Linked DNA regions of Tribolium castaneum. The protein of the gene in region 1 purifies or fractionates together with the protein of each later gene. This does not show direct contact. Links are inferred from orthologs where the notes say so. Each region holds a gene or a part of one and is shown on either strand. Other genes may lie near its edges.

What was found.
Region 2: the proteins of centrosomin (region 1) and Sas-4 purify together in Drosophila melanogaster (affinity purification with western blotting; 5 studies listed by BioGRID, with this or other methods). This does not show direct contact. The link is inferred for Tribolium castaneum from reciprocal best matches to the Drosophila melanogaster genes cnn and Sas-4.

The regions. Positions count from the first base shown.
Region 1 is NC_087398.1:12,872,847-12,881,976, forward strand, and holds the start of centrosomin, read left to right. Parts: upstream 1-2,421; 5' UTR 2,422-2,576; coding exon 2,577-2,701; intron 2,702-9,130. UniProt on the Drosophila melanogaster protein: Core component of the centrosome throughout spermatogenesis. May participate in mitotic spindle assembly and the mechanics of morphogenesis through an interaction with microtubules, either directly or indirectly. Is a target of several homeotic genes.
Region 2 is NC_087401.1:15,918,965-15,928,004, reverse strand, and holds Sas-4 (centromere protein J), read right to left. Parts: upstream 5,821-9,040; 5' UTR 5,763-5,820; coding exon 5,069-5,762; intron 4,954-5,068; coding exon 4,593-4,953; intron 4,548-4,592; coding exon 3,918-4,547; intron 3,870-3,917; coding exon 3,674-3,869; intron 3,628-3,673; coding exon 3,499-3,627; 3' UTR 3,469-3,498; downstream 1-3,468. Other genes in the region: uncharacterized protein LOC663019, read left to right, coding at 1-115, 255-446, 485-845, 882-920, 982-1,140, 1,195-1,450, 1,498-1,627, 1,673-1,897; mRpL44 (large ribosomal subunit protein mL44), read left to right, coding at 2,493-2,568, 2,615-3,051, 3,097-3,468; rhomboid-related protein 2, read left to right, coding at 6,423-6,545, 6,622-7,148, 7,200-7,413, 7,462-7,767; oocyte zinc finger protein XlCOF28, read left to right, coding at 8,090-8,223, 8,277-8,898.

The DNA.
Region 1 (9,130 bases):
CACAAAAAATAATAGCATGCCATTTAAAAAAATTATTATATTGACGTCATTCTTTTTGGGACACTCGGTATAATCGAAAATATTTTCCTGAAATGTGTTCTAGAGTATAAATAATGTCTACAAAGTATCAAAACTCCAATTTAAATAATAAATGACCTACAGAAGACCGGAGATGATCTGGACCACTCTGTATATAGTGTTGCAAAATAGGACTATCAATTTTGTTCGTTTGTCAAAAGCCGGTTCGTTATAACCGAGTTCCACTGTAATTCAATCTTGATGTAAAATTCGGAAAACAATCCGAACAATGGTTTATTACATTTTTTTAATAAACTTTTTTGTTATGCTAGCTAAAGTTTGCAAATGATCACGAATCACTGTTTGAATTTCTACAGAACAGAGTCTTTTTTGATTTCTTGATGATTTCCTGATTTTTTTAGGAAATAATATTAAAATTCACAAATTGTTTATAGGTATTGGACGTGCAGTTTCTTAGTGTCCATTGTAATGCAAAAGACTAACCTGTTACCAGGAAAACTCAAATAAAAATTAATGCTTAGAGCATGCCTTTTGCACCACAGTGGACACAAAGAAAATGAATTTAATTTACATAGAGTTGTCGTCATATCGTCACAAATTTGTAGTAATGTAGAGGTTGTTCCATATCTAGTGGCGAACTGACAGTGACATAAAAGACTCTTGAATTACACCCACTGGATAAAGATAATGAAGTACATCAACGTACATTTTTTTCTCTAAAATTTAATTAGTTTTAATTTTTACATTAATAAATTTTAAGGACGAAGATAAGCAGATTATTACTATTATTAATAATTTATTCATTATTTTTATTCATTTTACGTATCGTATTATTATTTTTTAATCACCAATAACAGTGGGTTTAAAAATTATTTTATTACGACGCCTATGGGCATTATTTTATTTAATTCGGAAGTAAAGTTACCGTTGGGGGCGCCACTGAGCTAGGTCGAAAACAGTAACCATAAATGGCGGGAAAATGTTTATTCGGATATTTTGAGCGTTGTACGAATTTTGAGGCTTCACAATTATTACATTGCCAATGCGGAATGACTATTGTATCTTTGGTGGAAGAAACGAATGTTGACAAATTGGAGATGACGAGGAAAACACGAATAATGAATGACTTTTTGGTTCACTTTCTTTATTGAAAAATTATTACAAAGACATTGAAAAGCCCACCTTTTGGCATAATTTACGTTTAAGTGTATTAGCAGTTGTTAATTTTAGTTGTAGTTTTGTTGATTTATCGAAGTATTTCATGATTTTATCAGTGGAAAAATTCTAACCTAAAATTCACAAACTTCACTAATTTATTGGTTTCTTGAGCCCAACTTTGTGTTCGCAGTGATCCATTACTATAGTCTTTAATTAGACAACTGTTTGATAACACTTTGTAATAAAAATTTAAATCTTTTACACTTTTTATCCACTTTCAAATTCCAACAACAAACACTTTATACCACGAAAAACCGCAGAACCAAAGTCAAAGCTAGTATTTACCACCACGTACTTTTAAAGTGATTCTCTCCAATGTAAGCAATTAACACTATACACGCAAAATTGCTCAACAATTTATTAGATGTCAATTAAATGTGGAATTACGAAAATTTCGTTACTGTTTTCGACATAGTTCAAAAGTCATCACCAGAGGGCGTCTAGTTAATTTTATTTCCGAATAGAAAGAACATGTTTAATGCCAAAATTCTGTTACTTTTGGCAATGTCACTTCGCCACCAGATTTGGAATAAGCTCTAAATACAGAAGTGACTGAAATTGAGTGGAAATGAAAATTTACATTAAAATAAATATAAACAGTGATTAAAAGTTATTCACTCTGTTATCAATGTTATCATTATAAATTATCATTATTATCCGAAATTCCCATTTCTATAAACTAGAAACTTTTACTCAGTTTTTTTAAGTAGTAATGAAGTAATAATAAATTAATATTAAAGAATAGGTTGGGAATGGGTTTTTTGATAAAAACTTTGAATCAGAAAAAATTTGTTTAATTTCCTGAAAGTTAAAGTAGGAATCAGTGAATCACGTTGACGATTTTATAGCCACCACTGATTAATTAATAATTAATGATGAAAAGAAAATCTAACGTCATTTCGCTTTAAGAGCTCTTCATACATGCTACAATTTCCCATTAATTTTAAAAATTTATTTTTGCGTAATAAGATGCTCGCCCACGTGTTTTTCCCCCGAAATCGATACACCTCAAACCACAACTTTGGCCAAAACAATCTCTTCCTCGATTTTGTGTCTTTGTCATACACACGGATTAGATTTGAGACATTTTGAGTGTAGTTTGTCGAAACTAGGCAGCGCACGCATGGTCCATCCACGACCTGAGGCTGCGTCAAGCGAATCCAAACATTTCAGTGGAGAAGTGTAGAGAGGATAGAGTGGTGGTAAAGTGCGCCGGTTTGTTGTGACTACGAAAAGTTTATTATTAATTTTAATTTCACGTTTTAAAGTGAGACAAGAAGGGCAAAGAAAAAATGCCCCCTTAAAAATAACTTCGGTTTATGGACGCTCGTAATAGTGGCATAAATTTTCAAGTGCTTGAAATCATGTCGTTCTTTAATTATAGTGGATTTCACAGCCCGCCTTCGAGGCCTTTAATTATTCCGTCCCCTACAAGTCCTTTTTGGTAAGTTTTGCCAAGTGTTTGGCTACTGCTCGGAAATGCTGAGGGGTTGTTGTAGTTTGTAGTGGGTTTAGTCATCGTCTTTGGGATGCGAAGGGGAGGAAAATTCCAGCGCAGGTCAAAACTGAATCAAGTTTTTGATGAGGGTTGAAAAAATCCAATTTGTACCTAATTTGCTAACAAAATAAATTTAATAATGAATAATTATTTAACTATTTATTCTATAATTATGTTTATACAGTGGAACTCCGTGATAACGGACAAGGTTTTTAACGTTTAAAATATATACAAAAGTGGTCTATGAGTCGGTTGTAACGAACACACGTGCATTTTTGTTACATTCTCGGAAATAATAAACATTTCCGATTTGCAACAACATTCCAAATAATCAGAAATCTCTAATTTTGCCACAAAATTTAAAATAATTGTTGGATTACTATTAAACAAGTCTACAAATGGAAATGCGTCTTTTCTAATAAATTAAATTAAATGAAGTTTTTTAGGATAATTTCTATTTTTATTTTTTATTTGTATTTCAAAATCCGTTTTCAAATAGCCAAAAAATAAAATAAAAATTACATCCGATTTCAAAAATTGAAACTTTTTGAGCTTTTAACACAAATGTTAATTTCTGTGGTACAATTTGCTGGCCCCCATGTCGTTGATAACCCTATCACCACCTGAACCCACGGTCTCTTCTATCTGTTCGCCCACATGCCCTCAACTCTGACCCAGATTGAACATCACGTGGAAAAATCAATTGCACGTGCATTTCCACTACCCCGTTTTCACCACTCGACCCGAAAACAGTGCGCTCAACTTTTCAAGTAGGCGATAGCCGCCGACGAATTAATAAACTAAATGAAAATGCCCTTGTCGATATTAACGACACGAACAGAAAGCGCTTTTCTTGGCCATTTACGGATGTCTTTATCAGAAAAAGTTGACATTTTAATGGGGACGTCGAGCAGATGGCACGTTTTCTCGATGCTGAAAGGAAATATTTTTTGTTGTTGAAGGAAATACGAGGCTTATCTGGAGCGATGAGATAATTTATGTGACTTGACTGCATCTGAATTAAAATACGGCTGGCGATGACGCGTTCTGAATGAAATAATATCAGACTGCAGTTTGTTGTAATCGGTTTTCCTACTTTGGGAAAGTTGCGTAAAGTCGTGGGAACAGTCATAGGAAAATAAAGATAAGAATTTACTTTATATGGCGAAGCGAAAAATGCATAATTTATTTTTAAGACAGTTTTACAATTTTAGTACACCTGCACACACACCTTGTAATTTTCATTGTTTACAGTGTACACCTTCGTTCAAATATGGAACCGATTCTTTAATGGCCAATTAAATCATTAACTTGTAATGTTTATACAGTCCCTAGCTCGCATTAAATCAAGAAGTGTTTATTCAGTGCACCTTTGTCTTTATCTTTTCTGTCGGCACGTGTCATTTACCTTCTTTACTTTTTTTTTCATGTTCATTTTAAGATCGTTATTATTTTAGTCTACGTTTTTTACGTAGCTGGATGGGCCTAAAATTAATTATAGTTGTCTTGTCTGTGCTTAGGAAGTGAGATAAAGGGGGCATAAAAACATGGCTGTGTGTAATGGATACTTCAAAGGATCGAGGGTGAGATATTCTACCGCACAAGATGAAAAACTTACATTTAGATTTTGATAAACTGGGATTTGTCTGGTTTTAAAAACAAACACTGCTGCGCCTTTTTTCAATCAACAACAAATTGCATAATCAGTTCAGTCGACAAAACTCATCCAAAATTGTTGTTGCCTCTCATTTATCTCTATTTGCTACTGAACTGTTTCTCCAACAAAGCGGAAGACAAACATCGAGTATCTCTAAGGAAGTTGTATATTAGGGATGTTTTGACTTCAGTTACAAACACGTGTGGTGTTTTGTTCAAATAAATCAGGAAAATTGTGAGCACATATTTGGAAAATGTGAAATAAATATCTCTCAAGGTTTATTATTTAGACACATATTTGCCTAAATTTTCGCCATGTGTAAACTTGAAATTTCAGTCGATTTGTTTTATTATTCTCCACAGTTTGTAACTCAGTCACATTTTATTATGACTAGCCAGAAGTCATAAACCGTCAGGTTGTTCCCTTGTTGGCGTAATAAGAATAAACCCTATTTATCAATTTTGGTTCGGTCAACAAGGGCTTGAGCACAATACTAAATAAATGTAAATGTTTACATTTGTGGATAACGTAATTCAAACTAGAGGAGAGTGATGTTTGTTTATGTTTGATTACGTTAGCGGGCGTTTTCCTGAATTGGCCAGCTGGTGTCGGTGGAACGCGAAACAAGAGAATGTTTTCAAGAAGGATACTTAATCTTTATCGGGGATTAAGTGTTGACTAGAATTACAAAGTGATTAAAGCTTTCTTTGTAAGAGAGGTTATTAAAATAACTCAGGGAAGGGTTGCTACCGCATGTTTATTTTCCTCAAATGGATTACTAAGAAAGATAAGACTGTTTGTTCGAATTTTGAAACTTTCTAATGCCTATTCGAGTGCTTCCAATCAATAAGATTAACGGATTGTTATGAAATTTAGAATGCACATATTTTCGGTGGTCTTTCAATTAGGGACAAAAAAATGATCTCTAGTTAAAAAATGAAATTTTAAAACACATTTCTTTTATTTAAAATTAAGCCAAATTACCGTTGAATCATTAAACCCCGAAAAATAAATGGCCACACAAAAAATTAACCAAATCGCTCAGCTGATCCAAGAAAAAAATTAAATTTTGTTGTTAAAAACTTATTCAAATTTTGATAGTAATTTGGGCAGTCACCTTTTGAAACAATTGATGAAGCATTTCTATGCGGCATTATGTGTACCACTGAAAAAAACTACCAAAAGTGTGCGCATTGTCAGAAAAGTAAAATTGTTTTAATTTGGTGAAATTACTTTAAAAACCAACAAGTGGCAGAAATTTCTGTGTTGTTGAAAAAGGAATCAATATTTGCCTATGGAAAGTGTCGTTGGACTTTTTGTGAAATGTTATTTTTGAAATTTAAAGTTAAAAAAATCGTCATTAATTTAAAGACACAGGAAGTGTATTTGAACTAAATCGAGTGAGGACAAAACACGTCACTGGAAACGAAGCAATAGTTAGAGCTGTAATTCAAGCTTTTGAAGAGAATCCAATCAGTAGTGTACGAAACATTTCCAAAGTCCTGAATGTTCAAGTGTCTAGAATTTTTCAGTTGTTGTTCAGTCTTTTAATCTTTTTTGAAAGAATTAAAGCATCCAGTACCAAAAGTATTGTTTTTTAACTTTATATGGGTGAGAGATAATTGTGAAATGTCCCTTGCGTGACAGTTACGTTTCTGCGAGTAGGATTGACCAAAATTCAATGGTAGTGCTCATTTGTCTCATAGAGATCTACGCTTTTGCATCTGAACCCACGTTTAACAGTTTGTTTCTCATTTTTCTCGCGAAACAGACTTCTTCCACAAACGAGTTTTTTCTGACAGCATTTTTCACTGACGATATTTTTTTTTAATATAAATCTTAAAAGGCTTAACATTTTAAAAAGGCATGTAAAAATTACGTTTTTAATGCTTGAGTTGTTGCATTAATTGGATTTTAATCTTTATCTTCTAAAATATATGCATTTTAAATTTCATAAAAACCCGTTGAGAAATGTCTGAGATATCAGGCTCGAAAGTCTTAGCTGAGACACCCTGTATTGTGTAAGATAATCCTTAAAGGTTGCTAAACTTTGGCGATCTCTGACCTGTCCGTTCAAAATGATTATCCGTCTATATTACTGTTGCTAAATAAATTTATGTGCAAATAAGGGGGCGGTGGCCTTGTTAAATCACCCACTTGCTCTTGAAAGGAATCTACAATTCTTCTAACTTGACATAATGGGATTGATGCTAATAGCATTTACTTTATATATAAGCACTTTACATTTTTGGGACGTTCTCGAGGATATCGAATTGTTTTCTCAGTATTATGTTTCATTAAACAAACGTACAATTAGTTTTAATCGGCATTGTTTGCTGTATTTATTTTAATGATGGTTTTTATCTGTGTGCTAGGTCAAAGTTTAGTGGTGCAATTAGGCATTGGTACGACTTTTAATTCTTCTTAATTATACAAAAGAATAATGTGCTAGAAAAATATAATGGGTCTTATCCGCTTCGCTTAATTATTGTATTTATTTCTGTTCCGTTTAAATGAATTTCCTGTGTGAATGGGTGTATTACTTGCCACCACAGAAGTGATTGATTTATATTTAGAAAGAAATTATGTAACAAATGGAATGACAGGCTTTGGTGTCATCAAAGATCAAGTTCATTGCAGTGCATGAATCAGAAACCCAAATATATCGTTAGTCGTTTTCGATTTTTCTCTCCTTTTAATTTTTTTAAGTAGAATTGAAACTGAACTGAAATAATTAAGTGCGTTCACTGCTAACGCGTATTGCTTCTCACTGTTGATGTATGTACGAGCCTTTGTTTATTTTTTTATCAGAATTTGTTCAAAAAAGTCTTACTCACATATGCGTAAACACATACTTCACGTTTTTATTTGTTTTTTACAGTGGTTTTACTCTGGAACTAATGTATTTGAGCCACCACTGTAAGTATTTGAGTATTTTTAACTTGGTTCATGTTTTTGTTAGATAACGTGGCCACATTAAAGTAGGAAGTAAAATAAAACAGAACAAGTCCATCTGTTTCTGTAGTTTGTGTAGGATGAAGTCCGAGCGGTCATAATTTTTTTTTTTTAATTTTATATTTTAATTTATTGGTAGTTTGTTTTTTTTTTACTTTTCGTCATAGATTAGCATGTAGATAATTAGGGTAATTAGTCAGTAAAGCTCCGAAAAGACCCCGAGACTTTTATTTCGAGAAACATAAACACTTGAGCCTAATTTATTAGCTAGTCAGGGTGACAAGCAGACCACCCCAAGTCGACCGTGAGTAAGACGCCTTCGAATATGCAATTTTGCATATGAGTTTTTAGTTTTCACCCACACTTTAGAGGGGTAGTGTGAGCTAGAGTCAGTTCCAAGTTAGAGTGACTTAAAGTAATTGCTTAAGTGAATCAAGGTGAGTTGTCACTGAGTAATCCCAGTTTGTTGGTGTGTGAGGTTTTTCAATCCAATAAGGTGTAGAGATTTATGATAATTACCATATCAACGGTAGGGTGAGTCGTTCACTTATTATTTTAATTGCTGCGGTGTTGATATTTATAATTGTTGATAACGTTCATCAAAAACCTGCGTGAGTATTGAGTACAATATCAAACTGAAGTTGAATCAATGCGCTATTCATCAGTTGATAGTTTATTTAATTGGTTGATACTAAAGTTGGTGATATTTGATGAGAATGATATTGAATTGAGAGTTGACGAACTATGAATAAGATTGAGTTGAGCCCCGACATGTCGAGCTAAACTTTGTTAGTCTGTCTATCCTTAATTAATCCACGGTTAAGCTTGAGGCGGGGCGGCGCTCGAAAATGCCCATTGCACGCCGAGATTAACCCAACAGGGGACGCTGGAGGGTCGCGGCGTCGCGAGGCCTCCAGGTCTGGTTTATGTTTATTTGTGGACGCGGGGGATCACTAGGCAGCCGCGTTCATTGCACCCCCAGGTCTAGGTTGCAGAATAGGTCGTGGGGAGAGCGCTGGAAGGTGATCATTGCACTTGCTCGTTGGTCCGTGAGACGGCTTCGGCTATGAGGTTAAGGGACTTGTTCACCACCTGCACTATGAAGAGGGCTTCCATTGCACGCTCAGGGCTATGTGTGATTAGCAGTTGAGCAGGTTAGCCAAAAAGGTGTTCATTGCACTGCCCGGAACCGCCCCTGAGATACGGCTGCGGCCATGAGGTTTATAGGGACTTGTTCACCACCTGCACTATGAAGAGGGCCTCCATTGCACGCTTAGGGCTATGTTTGATTAGCGGCTGAGCAGGTTGGCCAAAAAGGTGATCATTGCACTGCCCGGAACCGCCCCCTTTTTATGTTGGTCATAGGCGAGTACCATGAACATAATATCCATTGCACGCTTGGTGTTGAATGACCTGCGGGTCTCGAAGTAGACGCTGGACGGATATTACCGGGGTACTCATTGCACAACCTAAGACAAGTGGTGGATGACAAGGCAGCGTTGCCTATTGCACGTCAGAACCGCGAGGTGGTCTCTCGATTGCTGCTGATCCAGAGACAAGCGGGCTGGATGGTATCTATGAGCAAAGGGGTAACCCTTTGCCTGGTTTCCCCCTATGCTCCTGGAGTCCTATTGACCAGGACTGCGACTGTTAACCTTTTGAACCCCTTGGACAGAGCTCAACCGATTCTATTCGAATTACATATTTTATTGATGGTAGATTTGCATAATTATTTTGGGTTAACGACTGTTACATTTATTGGT
Region 2 (9,040 bases), on another chromosome or scaffold:
CGACTCCACGCCTACGTCCAACGGCTCGCGCAAAAGCATCTCGCGGACGGTCTCCAACCACGAAATCCAGGCCGACAAGCCGAGCGCACTTCTACCCGTGGAGAAGCTAACCAAAGTGAGTTTTACACCCAATAAACCACCCCCGTGTGGCTTTGCCCCGCAAAAACGCAAATTAGTGATAGGTTATTAAATTACAAGCCGTCATGTTGGTAGTGGCATTTGAGGTTAGGCGCCATTTTGAATTCAAATTGCAGATTTTGGCCGACAAATCGTTTGAGGAGGAGCACATTACCGGCATTTCCCTCAATGTTTTCACCAAGTGTTTGTTCCCGCGGTACCCCGTCTTGGCCGAGAAGCTCTACACGTACTTACTCACGGGGGCGAAGTCACGCAACACTTACATCGACATCCAGGGCTTCAAACTGCAATGCGAGAAATACCTATCGGTGAGTTTGGCACGTGTGGAGCCCCCTTACAGCCGCAGTTCCAGATTCTGGACGACGAAACGGTACGTGACACTTTCGTACGCATGTTTGGCACACAAGTGGAAGACGCTGGCGAGGTTATAACCCCCGAGGGGCTCCGCTCGCTCCTAATGTGCGCCTACCACGTCAGCATGGACCACTACTCCGAGGGCCCCCAGATGTGCCTCTCAATTAGCAAGACTTTGAAAGCTGTGGTTGATAGTTGCTTTCACACCAAAACCCAACTCTCAACCCAGTTTGTTTCCCATTGGCTGGCCGCCAATTGTCCCCGCCTCCTGCTCCCCCTACACAGATATCTAGTACATTCCTTAGCCACGTCGTGGCGCACTTTGGAAGACATGGAGAACGCCCCAGCCGCAGGTGAGTGCGTTAAGCGAACAACACTCATTTAATTAGATTTTAAAACACACGCTGCGAAAGATGAGGTTGAGGAAGGTAAATAAAAAATTACATAATTTGAGTAGTCACCAGGGGTGGTATTAAATTATTGTAATAGGTTTAGAGTTGGCCACGCCCGTCCTGGAGCAGGCCCCGCCCTTCAGCCAGAAACACCCCCACTTGCTGCACATGAGCATGTCGTGGCTGTTGGCAGGGGCCCTCCCACCTGTATTTTCACGCCCACAAAAAGCGCACTCGCCTAGCAACAGTGGCGTTGGTAATAGCCCGCATTTGTATTAGACCACACCCACTTAATGTCTGATTTGTCAAGGTCTGGCAAGCACCGCCTTTTTGACCAAACTCTTGTGCTCGGTGCCTTCTCATTGGGTGGTTTTGTACGACTCGGATAATGACGGTTTAGGGGCGAATCGTTTCCTACACCACGTGATGTCGTACAAAGGGCCCACTTTGTGTCTTTTGCGGGTCGAAGATGGCCAAGTTTTTTGTATTGCGTCACCGAATGAGTGGAGAGAATCCAATCATTATTGGGGTGGGGAGGACTCAGCTGTTTTTCAATTGTTACCAAAGTGAGTCATTGCCAACTGTTTTGGAAGTTTTCGAAATATTTTGTCAGGTTTGTGTTACTGGAAAAGGGGTCCAAAATGTTGTATTTAAATACCACGGTTCGGGGGTACCCTTATGGGTTACGGGCTGGGAAAGACCCACGTAGTCCCATAATCATAGTAGACGGTGGGTTTGAAAAGGTCAGTTGTTACGTCACAAATTCTCGTTTCTAATTCTCTCACTAGATGGAGTTTAAAAAAATACCCTACAGTTTGCTACGTATTGAAGTCTGGGGTTGTGGGGATCCCATAAGTCGGGAACAACAATTAGAAGTGAAAAAATGGGAAGTCAAGGAAGCCGAAAGACAAAGATGTGTCAAATTGAGCGCCGATGATTGGCTGGACCATCCAGATAGGTATCTGTTGGAGTTGGCTGGGCGGCCACAGTACCACCAAAACCAAACACAATAAGTATCAATTAAGTACTTAGAAATTTGTTAGAGTGATATTAAAGTTAGGCTAGGGACTGTTGTATTTATTCAAGTCTCACTCGCATTCAAAAGTATTGATACGTGCCTTGAGAAGACGGCTTTTCGATATTATTAGCTACTTAATTAAATTTAATCAACTTGCGTATTTCAAGCTACTTAATTCGTTTTATTCTTAACAGGGTGTTGTTCATTACAGTGTTCAAGCAGACATATTTTTATAAAAATGTTTGACCCAACGCGCGTTTTATTCACGCAAATTCATTCCCACTGTTTATTCCTTTAAAAAAAACATACAAATAAAAATATTTTTTTAAACAGACGTAACCTTAACCTAAAGTATATTTGGTTGCATAAACATCCGGTTTTGAGGCGATTTTTTGTAATTAATTGTTTAAAATTTACACAAATTGATCAATAAAATGTATCCAACCGTTTTACAATTAACGTTTTAATAAAAACTGTCCGCTATTTGGCAAAAATAGCCACAAACAACGTAACCCTGACCACTTCCAACCCAACCTAACCTCACTTAATCTAACACTATTAAAGTAATTGTGTGGTAACTGTGCCCCGAAATGTCTTTTTGTCGGCACGCGGCGCTCCGGGCGACCCGCCTGGTCCTGCGCCAGGTCCAAACGCCCCAAATAACCGGTAAGCCCCCCAACTAATATAACCCCCAAATCAAACATGTTTCAAGAAACTCGCAATATCAAGCGTTGGGTGGCCCCCGTGCTCAAACAACTGAAACGTCGGATGGACCAAGTGGGGCCCGAGGCCCCCACCCCACGCTCCAGTTACCTAGAATGGAACTACGAGGCTGAAATTTTCGCGTTTGGTAAACGACTAAGGGAAGAATTTGACCGTAAAGTACTGAAACAGGCGCTCACGCACCGGTCTTATGTCACTCGTGAGGAGGACAAGGCCAAGGAGAAGGGTTTAGAGTTTGAGACAATTGAGTGCAATCATCAATTGATTAAACAAGGGGGCGCGTTAATTTCGCAATGTGTGCGAAACGAGCTCGGGGGTAAGTACCCGAAGGACGTCGTGGAGGCGCTCCATGGCCACTTAACCACCGTTGATATGTTGGCACACGTGGGGCTGCATTTGGGGCTCAAGGATATCGTTCAGACAGCTGTGAGTGTCAAGTTAGGGGGTTGCGTTCTCTAGTTGGGTTTTTAGGAATTTCCCGTGGAAAATGAGACACTTGCTGACACGTTCAAGGCCGTGGTTGCCGCCTTGGAGGTGTCTCAAGGCCAGGAGAGGGTACAACTTTTCGTGAAAGATTTTTTGCTAAGTCAATTGAACGGTAAAGACGTTTACGATGTTTGGGCCCCCGATAGCCCCCTTGACTACTTGCGGTCGCTTTTGCCAAAGCAGGAGATTGAGTCCCGTTTGTGTAACAAATCGGCCGTTAATACAATTCTCGCAAATTATCAAGTGGGGCTATACTGTAATAAAAAATTGCTGGGGCTTGGATGGGGCGAAAGCGTCGAAATCGCCAAAGACACGGCCGCCCTGGACGCTATACAAAGACTCAGTTACGGAAAATAATCAATTAGTACCATAATACAATAAATAATATCATAAATGCGTGTCTAGAACCAATTTCCCGTTAGAATCCTTAATCCTCACACGCCCATTGGCATACTTCGTTTCCTGGGTCCCATCTCGGTACAAAATTTTAACAGTACCATCGGGATACTCGCGACTCTACAACCCAACCACGTGACAAATATTAAACCAATCAGGTGCCCACCTTGTATTCTTTTGTCTCGATTTCCTTTTGCCCATTGGCTAGAAGCAAAACCTTGTCGCCGTTTGGCGCAATTTTGACAATCGAGCCGTCGGTGTACTTAGTTTCCGTACCGCCGTCAGGTAGCGTTGTTTGCACAGCGCCATCTGGGAGCGTAATTTCGCACCTGCCGTCCGGAAAACGCCTCTCAATAACCCCCCTAAAAATCAAGTCAGTTGTGTTTGTTTTTTTTGTGAGCGGTGCCTACTCAGGAAATTCGACTACTTCCAAACCGTCGGCAAACGTAGTTTGGGTGATGTTACGATTGGTGAAAAAATATTTAACGGTTCCGTCCAATAAATTAGTTTCCTGGCGGTCACCATTGAAGAATTTAACAGTTATAAAGTTACCATCGGGTGACACTGTTTTAATATTGCCGTTGGGGTACGTCACTTGTGATTGGTTGGAGTTAAAGGCGCTCGTTTCTGATTGGTTGGCACCGCCGTTGTTGCATTCGTCCGCTAGAGGGGGTGCCATGACCAGAAACGACTCACTCTGATCCAGCATTACATTTTTTTCGTGATTTTTTGCCTGGTTTGTTAGTTTAGTTATGTTTTTGTTGATTTCGTGCAAAATTTTCGAATCGGATGATTTTCTGTTCAGTTTTTGCGTTGCTGAAAGTTTGGCGTTTTCTTTCGTTAATTTTTCAATTTCAGTCTTGAGTTGCGAATTTTCCTTTTCGAGTTGTTTGATTTGGTTGCGAAGGCGGGCTTGGGTCATTCCGTTTTTTGACTCTTTTAGCTTTAAAGTTTCACTCAAATCGGCCACTTCTTGCTTCAAGTTGCTTATTTCTTGCCGTTCTTTTTTGTTTGGGCGATTTTGTGACTCTTTCATGAACCTAAAACATTTTTTTTAATACGAGAAGTGGAAGGTTGAGACAAACATTTGAAACGCCTGTCGTTCTTTTGCAAGTTTTTTTCGTTCAATGTCCGCTTCGTACTCAAAATTCGCTCTTTGGTCCTCAAATTCGTGCTTGCGTTTTAAAAAATCGCGCTCTTTTTGCTCCAACTGTTTTCGTAGCTCACTTATCCGGTTTTTATCCTCAATTAAATCATTGAGTTTGTCGTCGTATTCAATAATTTTTTTCTTGAGTTTATCACCACAAATTGCACAATCATTGCTTGCCTCAGTCCCAACTCCTATATCACGTTTTGGGGCTGTCAGAGTCTCCTCTAAATCCCCCGATGAGACACTTGAAACCTCACTACTGGTCCACTTGTCCTCATCAGAAGCCTCAATAATCGCTAAAATGGAAAAAATCGCTCAAGAATTATATTATACGAGTGACGAAGTCCCGTGTATAATACAACATTTTTTCTATAACAAGACTTCAATTTTAAATAAAAAAAAAACACTAACAGGGTACATCGGGGGGCTTCATCCGTCCCTCGGCCAAATTCTTAAGCCTCAATAAAATCTCCGCAATGTCTTTGCGCTCCAACTCAGTCTCTATCACATCATCGCCCCCTTTTTTACTCGGAGTGCTTGACAAAATCCTCACAACGCTAGAATTCGTTGAACAAAAGCTACTATTCTCGGCCTTTTCCTCCAAAGCCTCAAAAATCCTCAACTCCTTCTCTAGCGCCTTCTCGTACAGTGTTTGCTCGCCGGGGGGCCCCCACGTGGCCTTGGGCCTCACCACCAAATCGGGGGCCCTCAGAGGAGTCACATTATCATTTTCTTTCTCCCCTTTCGATTTTTTAATCAATTTGGGGCGCGTTTTCATGCGGAAACGCTCCAAACCGGCCCCCTTTTTTAAAAAGGGGCGTTTCGGTTTAGGGGGCGCAGCCCCAGGGCCCGGATCAAGAGCGAGTTTTTCTTCAAGTAGTTCGTGGAAGGTTTTCGTGGGGGAAATTACCTGACTCTCCCAGTTTTTACGGGAGTGTTCGTTTGAGGAGTCAAAGGCTGAAAGACCGTCAATGGTTTGGTAGTCCGATAATGTGGTCGCGTTTGCACTGGTGTTGATAATTGTTTTTTTGAGTAAATCCTCGTGGCTTTCTTGCCATTTTTTGAGTTCGGCCAAGCGTTGGAGGAGGTTTGGTGAAAGTGGCATTTTTTTTAAGGTTAGGGACGGTTGACAGCGATTTAAATTTAAATCTGGGGGAATCGCTGCCAACGTGAGCAGTACCACCGTCAAAAATGAAGTTACTGTGTTTTTTTTAAGTTTTTTCGAGTAATTTGGGGCGAAAAGAGCAATTTTTGCCGTTTTTTTTATTGGGAAATTGTTATTTGGGTTTGGATGTGCGGGTTTACCGATTAATTGTGCCGTAATTTATGGTCAGTTTTATGCGCCATTTTGTCGGCTCTAAAGGCGGGGAATTTGAATAAAACAAACGTGCGTTACTTTTTTTGTATTTATTGTGATAAAAGGATGCACACAAGCTAATTTAATGTTTACACACAATTACCACACGTATCGGTGTAGCGTAGATAAGCGATTAGTGCGATAAATAACCTTGACGTGATTCATCAAGGAAATTCCGGTACCCACTTAATTTTTTTTCTAATCAACTATACAACAAAAGTCAAAGGCCACTTCTTTCACCAGCTATTTAAACCAAACTATCTAGTGTAACAACTGACAGTCGTAATAATCACAACAATGCCAAAAAACCTGGATAAATTTTTGACATTCCGGGAAATTGGGGAACGCCTATTGATATCTAATCTTATCTAAACAAAAATTTGAATACGCCTTGAGACCGCAAAAACCATGGCTTCGAACAGGTCGCTTCACCTGGACCTGGAATTAAGAACTAGGGATGAATCCCAAATTCCCCTCAACCACACCCCTACGTCACCCACGGACCAATACTATCGCAGTATTTTTGACAGGGTGAGTACCCACAACCCGGCCTTAAAGAATAAAAAAAAATGCTGAATTTTCTCTATATTTTTATTTGGTAAAGTAGTCAGGTCAGGTCAGGTCAGGTCAGGTCAGGTACATTTTTTTTAAGGCTGACACTAACAAGGACGGGGTAGTGACCCCCAACGAGCTCGAGCGGGTGGTGGACCGCTTGAGCCTCACCGATGAGCCCCCACCGCAACAACTAATCCGCCAAATCCACCAAATGGCCGACAAGAACCAAGATGGTGGACTAGATTATGGGGAATTTGTCACAATGATAAAAACACAGCCCCTCTTTAAGAAAGTTGTAACCCGTTATGTGAATTTCATCCTCCCGAGGAAAAAACAGGGGGCTGTGGCCACCCAAGTCGACGGTGCCGGCGAATACGAAGACCAGTACAAATTTTGCCCGCCAAAAATCGGAATGATCACAATTTCAATCATCGAGTTGATTTTTTTCGCCATTGATGAATACCGTGAACGCAACTCCACCCTATTTGCCGCTGGACCAATGGCCCAATTGTTTATTTACGACCCGGAACGGCGTTACGAGGCTTGGCGCTACCTCACTTACATGTTCGTGCACATTGGGTGAGTTGGTAACAATGTGTGTGAATCACCCAACTGGGGATTTTGATTTAGCTACTTGCATTTGGTGGTGAATCTAGTAGTCCAGGTTTTTTTGGGGATTCCCCTCGAAATGGTGCATGATTGGTGGCGCGTTCTTTTAGTTTACGTCACGGGAGTGGTTGCCGGTTCGCTCGGGACGTCAATCACTGATCCCAGGGCTAAGTTGGCCGGGGCCAGCGGGGGGGTTTACTCGCTCATCACGGCACATATTGCCACCATAATTATGGTAAAACTTCAAACACTGTAGTAGTGTTCAAACAGTTGATTTTTACAGAATTGGCACGAGATGAGCATGCCGTTCGTCCAACTGGCGATTTTTTTGCTCATTACGGGGGTTGATGTGGGGACTTCGATTTATAACAGGTATTGGGCCAACTTGGATGAGCCCATTGGGTACATGGCGCATTTTTCGGGGGCTTTGGCCGGGCTTTTGGTCGGTATTTGTGTTCTCAAGAATTTGCAAATCACCAAAAAGGAGAATATTATTTGGTGGGTGTCCATTGCGGTGTATTTGGCCCTGATGGTGGGGGCCGTCGTGTGGAACATTTTCTACAGTGATTATTTCCCCACACAGAAGTAATTTTGTACCGATTTTTGTAATAAAACTTGATCAAAATCAAATTCTTAGTGACTTTGGTGTTGCACTGTTGGCAACGCCACGACTCACTAAAGTGTTTTTCCCCAGTCTTTGCCACGATTTTTGCTAATTAGCGGTTTAAGCGCCCACAGGACGTTAATTTGTATTTAGTTTTCGCGTGTTTGCTAGTTAAAGCACAGATCAACCTCTCTAATCTGTGGTTAAAGTGTCAGTGTTTGGTTCAGTGTTGGTGGCCGTGGCTGTCAGTGCCATAACCTCAAATTTCGTCCGTTTTTTTATAATTTGTTATTAATGTTTTTGTGCAATGACGTGCGTGTTTGTGGACGAGGATTTCACACTTGACGTGGTCGAAGACTCCTCGGTGTGTTACGACGATCCTGAAACAATTGCCGAGCCCAACATTCAGGATTTTCTCCACTCTGAAGACCACCGCCCTGAGTCCGAAACGTCGGTAAAATCGCAATTCCGCTCAATTAACGCTCAAATTGCAGTGAATTGGAGGAGGACCCCTTTCGGGGGTACACCTGCCAGATCTGTTCGTTTTCAACCAAACACAAGTTGATTTATTTCAACCACATTGAGTCCCACCAGCACTCAAACTCGCCCCTTATTTGTAAATATTGCAATGAGACGTTTAAAAGTCGAAAGACTTTCCAGGAGCACCGCTTCGGTTGCAGCAAAAACAAATTGCCAGTGTATCAGTGCACACATTGCTCGTTTAAAACACTGAAAAGCCAGTCTTTTCGCAAGCATGCAAGTGCGTGTTCGAACAAGACACGGAAGTGTAAAAAGTGCGGTTTTGTAACGAAATTGGCCTCGGAAATGATGCTTCATAGGCGGGAAAAACACCCATTTGTGCGAAGTTTTTCCTGCACAGATTGCGATTTTAAGACAGGGGTGAAGGCACAATTGACGGCACATTGCCAGGAAGTGCACCCACGGCCCTACAAGTGCAAGTTCTGTGAGGTTGTCTCACAGGGCAAGAAGGAATGTTTCACACATCGGAGGCTCCACAGCAAGTTTCTGTGCAGTCAGTGTGTGTATAGCACTTCAAATAAGGGCCATTTTCAGCGACATTTAGCGCTTTGTAATAAATCAAAGTTAGGTAAATAAAAAAAACGCAGTGTGTATATTATAAATTGTAGTGTATTTAGCGGTTTGAATGAATTTATGTACATTTTGTCTAACTTACTAGTCAATAAATATTATCTATTAAATCGCCACACAAACAATATCATGGGTCTTTAACACATCG